2 linked regions of the Arabidopsis thaliana genome follow. The protein of the gene in region 1 interacts with the protein of each later gene in a pairwise test. Each region holds a gene or a part of one and is shown on either strand. Other genes may lie near its edges. The genes, in order: SQS1 and RABG3d.

Evidence for each region.
Region 2: the proteins of SQS1 (region 1) and RABG3d interact in a protein complementation assay, tested with the Arabidopsis thaliana proteins (one large-scale study listed by BioGRID).

What each region holds. Positions count from the first base shown.
Region 1 is NC_003075.7:16,536,424-16,542,685, forward strand, and holds SQS1 (squalene synthase 1), read left to right. Parts: upstream 1-1,765; 5' UTR 1,766-2,065; coding exon 2,066-2,260; intron 2,261-2,278; exon of another isoform or gene 2,279-2,497; coding exon of another isoform or gene 2,498-2,527; intron 2,528-2,618; coding exon 2,619-2,661; intron 2,662-2,810; coding exon 2,811-2,900; intron 2,901-2,991; coding exon 2,992-3,067; intron 3,068-3,228; coding exon 3,229-3,298; intron 3,299-3,572; coding exon 3,573-3,722; intron 3,723-3,830; coding exon 3,831-3,935; intron 3,936-4,037; coding exon 4,038-4,184; intron 4,185-4,359; coding exon 4,360-4,435; intron 4,436-4,595; coding exon 4,596-4,684; intron 4,685-4,781; coding exon 4,782-4,873; intron 4,874-5,039; coding exon 5,040-5,082; intron 5,083-5,175; coding exon 5,176-5,232; 3' UTR 5,233-5,601; downstream 5,602-6,262. Other genes in the region: AT4G34630 (prostatic spermine-binding-like protein), read right to left, coding at 670-1,269; SQS2 (squalene synthase 2), read left to right, coding at 5,954-6,148, 6,233-6,262.
Region 2 is NC_003070.9:19,467,291-19,471,449, reverse strand, and holds RABG3d (RAB GTPase homolog G3D), read left to right. Parts: upstream 1-1,863; 5' UTR 1,864-2,000; coding exon 2,001-2,053; intron 2,054-2,143; coding exon 2,144-2,170; intron 2,171-2,263; coding exon 2,264-2,363; intron 2,364-2,574; coding exon 2,575-2,721; intron 2,722-2,822; coding exon 2,823-2,903; intron 2,904-2,981; coding exon 2,982-3,127; intron 3,128-3,233; coding exon 3,234-3,300; 3' UTR 3,301-3,635; downstream 3,636-4,159. Other genes in the region: PERK15 (Protein kinase superfamily protein), read left to right, coding at 1-24, 107-177, 255-331, 421-571, 637-798, 906-1,199. UniProt on the Arabidopsis thaliana protein: Intracellular vesicle trafficking and protein transport.

The sequences.
Region 1 (6,262 bases):
TTGAGAACACCAGCATCTTGTTATCGTATAGGTGTTTGACTGTTAGTAGAGAGATATACGAAGTCCATAGTGCATGCAACAAGTTAGATATAATAAAATAAAATAAAGTTATCTCCAGTCTCAACCACTCAGATGTCGAAATTCAGAGTGATGCGTACATCCTACGAGTATGACTTTTCAAACAACCACCAACATTCACAAAAATTGCAAAAGCTTCTACAAAGATAACCAAATTAACCACCACCAAACACAAACCTTCTTCCTGTTAAATCATTGCTACAGTTTAGCTGTCGTTTTCAATTCTAAGGTTCACACAAGATTAAACGAGCTCATCTATCAAGAGTTATTATGATCCATTCATCATCTTCTCCATTTCAACACTACAATTTGCTAACCCAAGATTCACAATCACAATCTGATCAACCAAATTAAAGAGCCATCAAAGAAAGCGATCAGTTAATGAACAATGAATCCTAAAATGCGAGTTATTTAATTTCCATCATGTACAATGAGATCTTCAGAAGCATCCGAATTACTTACTACTAAAGAGGAATTGAAATTGAACTAACAAATTTACACATCAATTAAACCCAGAAACTGAGAAATTCTACCGAGAGTTCTTGAAGAAACCATCCCATCGCCTTGTGAAACTTCGAAATCCCAACACAATCAGCACTTGAATTTCATGCCGAGACCATGCTTACCACGAACGATACCAGGCTTCAAAAACGGAGATATCTTCGAGGCATAGACCTTGGCGATTGCTCTTTTCCCCAGTTTCCTCATCCTTTGTCTCCCCACCTTCTTACTCACGCTACGCGGAACCAACTCTTCGTCAAGATCATACGAATCGTCGTACTCGCGATCTTCTTCGCCGTCGTCATTAACACTATCTCCGTACGTAATTCCAACAGAATAACCAGAACCTCCACCGAGAAACATCATCCGCTGCTGAGACCATCCAAGATCATTCTCATCAACTTCATCGCGAACGACATCATCGCCAACATCATCATCACCATCCAGATCCACGGCGAGATCACCACCGTCAGCAATAGGAATTATCTCATGCGGCGGAGAAATGACAGAGGGTGCGACAAAGGAAGCGTCGTCAAGAGATATGACGTCATCGTCGGAAAGACTATCGACGGAGAAAGAATCGTCGGAGAACTCGCCATCAGAAGGATTAACAACTTCCCAGAGATCGAGATCAACTTCTTGATCGAGAATGAGAGGAGACATGGTGATAACCCTAGATCGCTGCGCCATTTTCGAAATTGTGTGTTGTTTAGAGGTTGCTTCTTTGATTTTTCAAGACTGTTTGTTTTTGATAACCAGAGGAAGTTACCCTATTAATAGAGGCAAACCACCGAGTGTTATCTTGTGCTAATTGGTAGTTACACTGTTGAAGATACGTATTTACAACCAGTTATATGTTGCCACGTAAGGATTATTTTGCCACCTCAGCGTCGCCAGAAAGTTTGCCAGTAAATAAATAAGTGGACATGTAAATTTGATGTCGTACATTTATGATAATAAAAACTAAAAAGATACCTTTTCTTCCATTTTTTTAGAATATACCTTTTTTTCCTTTCAACATCTATAATTTGATCATTTCTTTCTAATTTTGTTAATTTCTGATTATATTAAACACATTTTCTCTGTTTTCTGTTTTTTTAATCTAATTAACACATAAGAAAAAGGGAGTTAAAAAGAATAAATGTACTCTCCATTTCCATTTGATGATATTCTTTAAGTTTCGTGGCTCTTTTTCAATTTCATTGGCTCTGACATTTTGTTTTTAATTAAAAAGGAAGAAACAAACAAAATGTGAATCCTTGTGAGTTGGCTCACTGGCAAAAAAGAAAGAAAAAAAATTCAGAAGCCTTTGTTTTCATCGATGAATAAATTAACAAACAAAACTAAAAAATAGGATATTCGCTGGCCGAATCGCGTCGATCCACATCGCAGGTGAGGGTTCCTGCAATTTATCCCTCGTGGTCTCTGAATCTCAGATCGTCGTCAACGAATCCTCCATTTTCTGAATCAAAATTTTCTGGAAACAATGGGGAGCTTGGGGACGATGCTGAGATATCCGGATGACATATATCCGCTCCTGAAGATGAAACGAGCGATTGAGAAAGCGGAGAAGCAGATCCCTCCTGAGCCACACTGGGGTTTCTGCTATTCGATGCTCCACAAGGTTTCTCGAAGCTTTTCTCTCGTTATTCAGCAACTCAACACCGAGCTCCGTAACGCCGTAAGTTCTTCTCGCTCTCGGCCTCTGTGTTGGTCAACGTCTTCAATTTTTGGAGGAATCCAGATATCTGACACTCATTTATTGTTGACGTCGGCGATGATTGGTTTCTTCTGTAGAATCCGATGGCTTTGAGAGTTTGTGTTCCACTTAGTTCAATATGAGTTATGCAGATTCTTATTAATTGATTCTGCAGTTTCTTCTGAGCTGCAGTAAATGCAGATTGTATTTTAGTGAACTATGATTCGATATGTTTCCACATATAAAATGGTGTGTGTGTTCGATCACATGCTATCAGTGTAGCTGTGTTCAGTCTTGCAGCATTTTCTTATTCAATTTTTTTTTTTTTTTCATTTTGTAGGTGTGTGTGTTCTACTTGGTTCTCCGAGCTCTTGATACTGTTGGTTAGTGTCTCTTAACTTTGCTTTCAAGATTACCTTGATACGATGAGGCTTCTCCAAAATCTGCTATATTTCTGTTTTGAAATGCTTTTATGTTAGAGCCATCTTTCTTCTTCGTGCTTCTGCTGCTAATATTATTTTTTGTACGACAGAGGATGATACTAGCATACCAACTGATGAAAAGGTTCCCATCCTGATAGCTTTTCACCGGCACATATACGATACTGATTGGCATTATTCATGCAAGTCTGAAGAGTCTCTTAACATCTTCATCTTTCACATTCCATTAATCTTTGACTGTCTAACTGACAAATTTTACTTGTTCAACTTTAGGTGGTACGAAGGAGTACAAGATTCTAATGGACCAATTTCACCATGTTTCTGCAGCTTTTTTGGAACTTGAAAAAGGGTTAGTTCTAATATTTGCTATACGCACTTCTGTTCTACTTTATAGATTTTTTCTGCTCATGTTGTCTCACGTTTATTGAGTTACTCAATTTGTTGATACTCTTATCTGCTTTCTGACAATACTAATTACCTCATTTTTAACATATGCTTTTGTATATGAAGGTATCAAGAGGCTATCGAGGAAATTACTAGAAGAATGGGTGCAGGGATGGCCAAGTTTATCTGCCAAGAGGTCTGTGATACAGAGCAGTTTTCGTAGTTGGATTTGTTTTTGAGTTATGGTGACAAAATGTCTTGAGCTGGACTGAGGTCTCTGTTTCAGTTAGAATTCTGTCATGCTTAATCTTTTCATAAGTCATAAATATTGGAATGCCTCATGTGATGCTTCTATGATATGACAAGTAGTAATTGTATTGAAAGTACCAAAACTTATTTATAAGTTTTGTAAAGAAATGAAATCATTTGTTTACCGATCCAGTTGATCCAGTTTTCACTATTATACACAGGTAGAAACTGTTGATGACTACGATGAATACTGCCACTATGTTGCTGGGCTTGTTGGTTTAGGTTTGTCGAAACTCTTCCTCGCTGCAGGATCAGAGGTTTTGACACCAGATTGGGAGGCGATTTCCAATTCAATGGGTTTATTTCTGCAGGTACAACAATGTATTTTGAGGTGTACAATGTTTCTTCTTCCTCAAATCTTTTGCAATTTCGGACAATTTCTATCATTGAATGATTTATAACACTGGTCTTATTTGCAGAAAACAAACATTATCAGAGATTATCTTGAGGACATTAATGAGATACCAAAATCCCGCATGTTTTGGCCTCGCGAGATTTGGGGCAAATATGCTGACAAGCTTGAGGTGCATACATACCACTCTCAAGCTCTCATCTTAGGTCTGATGTTACCCATATTGACTATTTTCTGACAGTGCCTTTTTGGTGATTTGTAAATTGTAATGTAGGATTTAAAATACGAGGAGAACACAAACAAATCCGTACAGTGCTTAAATGAAATGGTTACCAATGCGTTGATGCATATTGAAGATTGCCTGAAATACATGGTTTCCTTGCGTGATCCTTCCATATTTCGGTTCTGTGCCATCCCTCAGGTTAGAGAACGAAATATCACATAATTGTTAAGTCTTTAAACTTCACATTGAGAACTGTTTATATTGTTTTCCTCTTCATATGGAATTAGGTATTCTCCTCTTTAACTACGTCTGCACTAATATAGAATGCCTTAGAAGTTAATATTGCTTTGCTTGGGTGTATTTTCTTGATTAGATCATGGCGATTGGAACACTTGCATTATGCTATAACAATGAACAAGTATTCAGAGGCGTTGTGAAACTGAGGCGAGGTAAGATGTTAAGCCTTAGAAATTATGTAGGCCAATCCCTAATTTCTATTTATGAGAAAGGAAAACCCGTTATCTTTTATTATCAACGAGCTTGAGAACGTGTAGTAGCTAGCCTTATTATCTGAAGGCTAATATCGCTGAACAACTATCTATTGTTTAGGTCTTACTGCTAAAGTCATTGATCGTACAAAGACAATGGCTGATGTCTATGGTGCTTTCTATGATTTTTCCTGCATGCTGAAGACAAAGGTAGTCATCAGTTCCATGTTTGTGATTAGTTTTTCACTCAGTTTCTGTTTAAAGAAAAGAATCATATGTGAATTTTCTATCGACATATATGACATAGGTTGACAAGAACGATCCAAATGCCAGTAAGACACTAAACCGACTTGAAGCCGTTCAGAAACTCTGCAGAGACGCTGGAGTTCTTCAAAACAGGTACAGTCTTTTATTTAATCCCAAAAGCTGCATTAAATCCTCTCACTAAGAAACTGGTCACAAGCACCTATAACTAATCTTCCAAGTATTCTAGAATAGGATGATATTATCATAATCTTTCTTTCTGGTTGGGTTTCTGCTGAATCATTGTGTCTCTTCCTTTCAGAAAATCTTATGTTAATGACAAAGGACAACCAAACAGTGTCTTTGTAAGTTACATAGTTTCCCTTTTCCATATAAGTATCTCATTTTTAAAAAAATACATAAAACTTATATTCTATATATTCTACCCGAAAATGCAGATTATAATGGTTGTGATTCTACTGGCCATAGTCTTTGCATATCTCAGAGCAAACTGAGTGATCCATGTAAGCGAGTCTGATTGTATCACCATCATTCAAGATGTTCAGAGCAAATTTGAGTGATGAAGTAATCTAGGTTGATTCTTATTCACGCCACTGAATCCTAAGCAAGATTGTTTCCAGAACAAACAGAGTTTAAGCATGGTTTAGTCTAAAACCATGGATTCTATTTTAGTTACTACCTTCGTTATCTAAACGTGCATTTGTTCATCTATTTTTATTCCTTGTGTTTAAAGTTCTTTCTTTGTTTAGTTGCGTTTCTTCTTTCGTTCTCTTTTGGCATGTTTTAAGATTAATTTTACCAACAACAACCAGATAAAATCCAAATGCAATAAGAAAGAAAGAAAAATGACAATCGAAGACTGAAATCTCTTCTTTCTTTTTAGGTCGGCAAAAAAGTCTCTTCAAAGTATATAAAACAAAAACATGAATCAAGATTAGATTTATCTTTTTAACGTTAAGTGTGTAGCACGCGGCAAGCAATTTAAATGCAAAAATAGAACATAGTTGGACCAGTAACATGTATCACCGTGGCAAGCTTAAGAGCAAGGCTAATAGCGATTCTGTGGAAGTGCAAGGTATGCAAAGGCCGTGGGGTCTATTGATTTATTAATAGGGCCATATTTGTTGAATTATAGCACATGGCCTACCATTTTGTTCCCCAACAAATCCTCCATTGTTTCAAACGAGTTCTGTTTTTTCTCCTCTGTTTCTAAAAATGGGAAGCTTGAGTACGATTTTGAGACATCCGGATGAGTTATATCCGCTCTTGAAGTTGAAACTTGCGATTACGAAAGCTCAGAAGCAGATTCCACTTGAGCCACACTTAGCTTTCTGTTATTCAATTCTTCACAAAGTTTCTAAAAGCTTTTCTCTTGTTATTCAACAACTTGGCACCGAGCTTCGTAACGCCGTATGTTTTTTTTTTTTTCTATATATAGCTATGTTACATTTTTAGTTACAGCAATATTTCAAACATTTTCTTTGTTTTTATTAGGTGTGTGTGTTCTACTTGATTCTCCGAGCT
Region 2 (4,159 bases), on another chromosome or scaffold:
GATTGGCATACTTACATGAAGATTGTGAGTATAATGTTCTTGTCTTTGAGTATTGTACAACATTAGTTTCTGAAGTTTTTGTCAAGGAGATTTTGTTTTGTTTCAGGTAATCCTAAGACAATACACCGCGATGTCAAGGCTGCAAATATTCTAATTGACGATAGCTATGAGGCGAAGGTATTCTTGAACTTGTAAAACTATATAAAAATGTTGTTTAGACTGCACTACTAATAATGCTGAACTTGGTTCATCAGTTAGCAGATTTTGGACTTGCCAGGTCTTCTTTAGACACTGATACTCATGTCTCCACTCGGATTATGGGAACCTTCGGGTACGAAACACTCTTTTCTATACGCAACCATAACCATAATAAGTTCATAACATACTAACAATCTTTTAAACTTCTTTCTTGTGATGCAGTTACTTGGCTCCTGAATATGCTTCTTCAGGGAAACTTACTGAGAAATCAGATGTCTTCTCAATTGGAGTGGTGCTTCTTGAACTGATAACCGGACGCCGTCCTGTTGATAAATCACAGCCTTTTGCTGATGATGATAGCATCGTTGATTGGGTTGGTTATCTTGTTTCCCTTACCACCACTTTTAATAAGCTTTTAAACTTTACCTCATGCTCTAGGCAAAACCTCTGATGATACAAGCGTTAAACGATGGAAACTTTGACGGTCTTGTTGACCCGCGGTTAGAGAATGATTTTGATATCAACGAAATGACGAGAATGGTTGCTTGCGCTGCTGCTAGTGTCCGTCATTCAGCTAAACGTCGCCCAAAAATGAGCCAGGTACTAACTATCACATCAAAACCTTTTGGCAACATTCAATCTAACACTAGGATAAAAAATGAAACTTTGTGAGTTCAATGGTGTCATTGTTCTTTGGACAATTGCAGATAGTTCGAGCATTCGAAGGAAATATATCTATAGATGACCTAACAGAAGGAGCTGCCCCAGGACAAAGTACTATTTACAGCTTAGACGGGAGCTCAGATTATAGCTCAACACAATACAAAGAAGACTTGAAGAAATTCAAGAAAATGGCGTTCGAAAGCAAAACATTTGGTAGCAGCGAATGCAGTGGTTTGACTAGCGACAATGGTCAGAACCCATCAGGCTCGTCTAGTATCACCGAAGGCCAACGTACAACGCAGGAGATCGAACCGGAGAAGAATACCAAGGACACATGAACTTTAAACAGAGGATTCTTGGTAATAGTTAAGTCTTATCATTTTGGGGTAGGACCCGTAGGTTTAGGTGTAAAACACATTATTCATTAGACGCGCTTTCACTTTTAATTATTTCCATGTGTGGCTCTAATCGAAACTGTCATGAGCCTGATATTGCACGTGAATATTATTTGTTGGAGATTTTTTTGAGTTTGGTGTGAAGATATTAAATTAGATTCAATCAAAGACTTTATGATTCTTAATTATTTTTTGGCCGTGATATATTATTTGAGTGGAAAGTTATTTTTAACATCTTTGATTCTTTTTTTAAAGCATGTTTTCTTTTGTTATCCATGCAACTTTGAAGAAATTGTTTTTTTTTTTGCAAATGAAATCCCATATATATATTAACCGATTTTAGATTCAGAGAAATAATATTTTTATAAGCATGGTGTTTGATTTTTGGTTGAAGGAGTAATTATTAGTATAGTTAGTACATAAGTCAATGGTAATTAACAAAACATTTGATAAAGTAAACATAATTAGACCGTTTGAAGATTTCTTCAAGTATAATTAATTAATTTTTTAAATTGTTTATAATAAGATTAGTTAATGACTAATTAAAGGAGGGGCAATTTTGGGAAAATAAAAGATTTTAAAATAGTAACTTTGCTGTTATTTAGCTAATACAGTATATACTTTTTCTGTAAATCACACGAAGAAGAAGAACCAAAAGAGAGAGATTGTGAAAGAAGAAAACAGAGACAGTTTCTTCGCTGAAAAGAAAAACCAAATCAGCTAAATCCCTAAAAGTTTCCGTCAATGTCTTCTCGCCGGAGAGTTCTTCTCAAGGTTATCATTCTCGGTGATAGCGGGTAAATTCTCTCATCTCTTCAGATTTCAGATTTGATGTGGTTTTATTTGTTCATTGAATGATGAGATTTTGATTCTTTTTTTATGGCCAGTGTTGGGAAGACTTCGTTGATGAATCAGTATGTTTCTGAAATCCAGATCTATGTGTCTCTTACTTAGAACATTGATAAATTCCTTATGAAATTTGATTTTGATTGATTCTATTTTGATAGGTTTGTGAATCGAAAGTTTAGTAATCAGTATAAAGCTACGATTGGAGCAGATTTTTTGACTAAAGAGGTTCAAATAGATGACAGAATCTTCACTTTACAGGTATTCTTTGAATCAATCAAACATTTTGATTCTTAGAATGTGATTGGATCTTAGGTTCCTACCTTTTTGGGTTTATAATGCAGAAAAAGTCAAAATCTTTCTTTGTTGAGGTTCAAATTTGTGTGCTTCTTAGGAAGATACAGTGTTTTTTTGGTTGTCTATAGAGATTTATAGAACTATTACTAATACAATCTCTTGGTACATTATATAGATTTGGGATACTGCTGGACAAGAAAGATTTCAAAGTTTGGGAGTTGCGTTTTACCGAGGAGCGGATTGTTGTGTTCTTGTCTATGATGTCAATGTTATGAAATCTTTTGATAATCTTAATAACTGGAGGGAAGAGTTCTTGATTCAGGTAACACTAATCCTCTTTGTTTTTTTCTTTCTTATAGAACTTTGTAGTTTGAGAATTGTATTGCTATAAACCAAATGCTTCTTTGTGGTGTCATTGTTTAGGCTAGTCCTTCAGATCCTGAAAACTTTCCATTTGTTGTGTTGGGGAACAAGACTGATGTTGATGGTGGAAAGAGCAGAGTGGTGAGACGTTATCTTCATTTCATGAAATACTTAAGTGTCTAGAGTTTGGTTATGCTAAAGTTATCCTATATTTGTCAGGTTTCTGAGAAAAAGGCAAAGGCATGGTGTGCATCTAAAGGAAACATTCCTTACTTTGAGACTTCCGCCAAAGAAGGATTCAATGTAGATGCGGCTTTCGAATGCATTACCAAAAATGCTTTCAAGAATGAACCTGAAGAAGAACCGTAAGTACAAACATATCTTACTGCTTTTTTTTTTTTTTTTGGCAAATTTGCATCACTTCAAGTCGTCGTAGTCTTATCTTCTGACCGTCTCTGATACCTCTCGTAGGTACCTTCCCGACACCATTGATGTTGCCGGAGGTCAGCAACAAAGATCAACAGGGTGTGAATGCTAATCAAGCAAAAGTTTGTTGCAGATACATTGTTTTGTTTGGCACATTTTGATTTTGTAACAATATATTTATAACTTCCAGAAATGTATTTTCAGATTCATTTTGAGTTACAGATTGTAATGAATTGGGTTCCTTTTTCTTTTGGACTCTATACTGATACCAAAATCCAACTTAATTTCGATTCTAGAAGGGGTTTGAATTTGAAGGATACATTGGACGGTTTTTGTGGGATCTTGTCTCTGAAAGCGATGAGAATTTGAAGATCGATCGTCTCTCAGCGTTTTTACCAATACAAAAAAAGTTAAATAATAAATACGGGTTAAGCGTATCTGATTGGGGCAATGTGTAAATATTATTAACTCTTAAACTAAATGTGTAAATAAAAATAGTTGACTTTGTCAAATATAGATAACACAACTGAGAAAATCAATTTCCTCTACCGGTAAGCAAATCATAAGAAAACTAGGAAGTGTCCCCAAAATCATAGCATACACTATATTTGTAGCTTATTATATATTCTTCAATAAAAAAAAAGTAGCTTATTATATATTGAGAAATGTTTAGATTTTTATGGACAAGAATCCAAATTAATATGACATAGCATGTTTACATATCAATTTTCTCATAAATATCAAAATAAAAATATATATCTAAAAAAAAGGTAGTAAATTTTAAAAATATAGATGTTTTTTATAATAAATAATTCATATATCTTGATGTATAATTTTTTTTTTCTGAATGTGTAGAAACTTATTTAGTAGTATGTATGTATATGGAAGAAACAACTTAAAGATAATATGTGTATTTTAATGTTAAAAAGTTACTATTATAACAAATGGATTAAAGTTGATATGTGAATTTG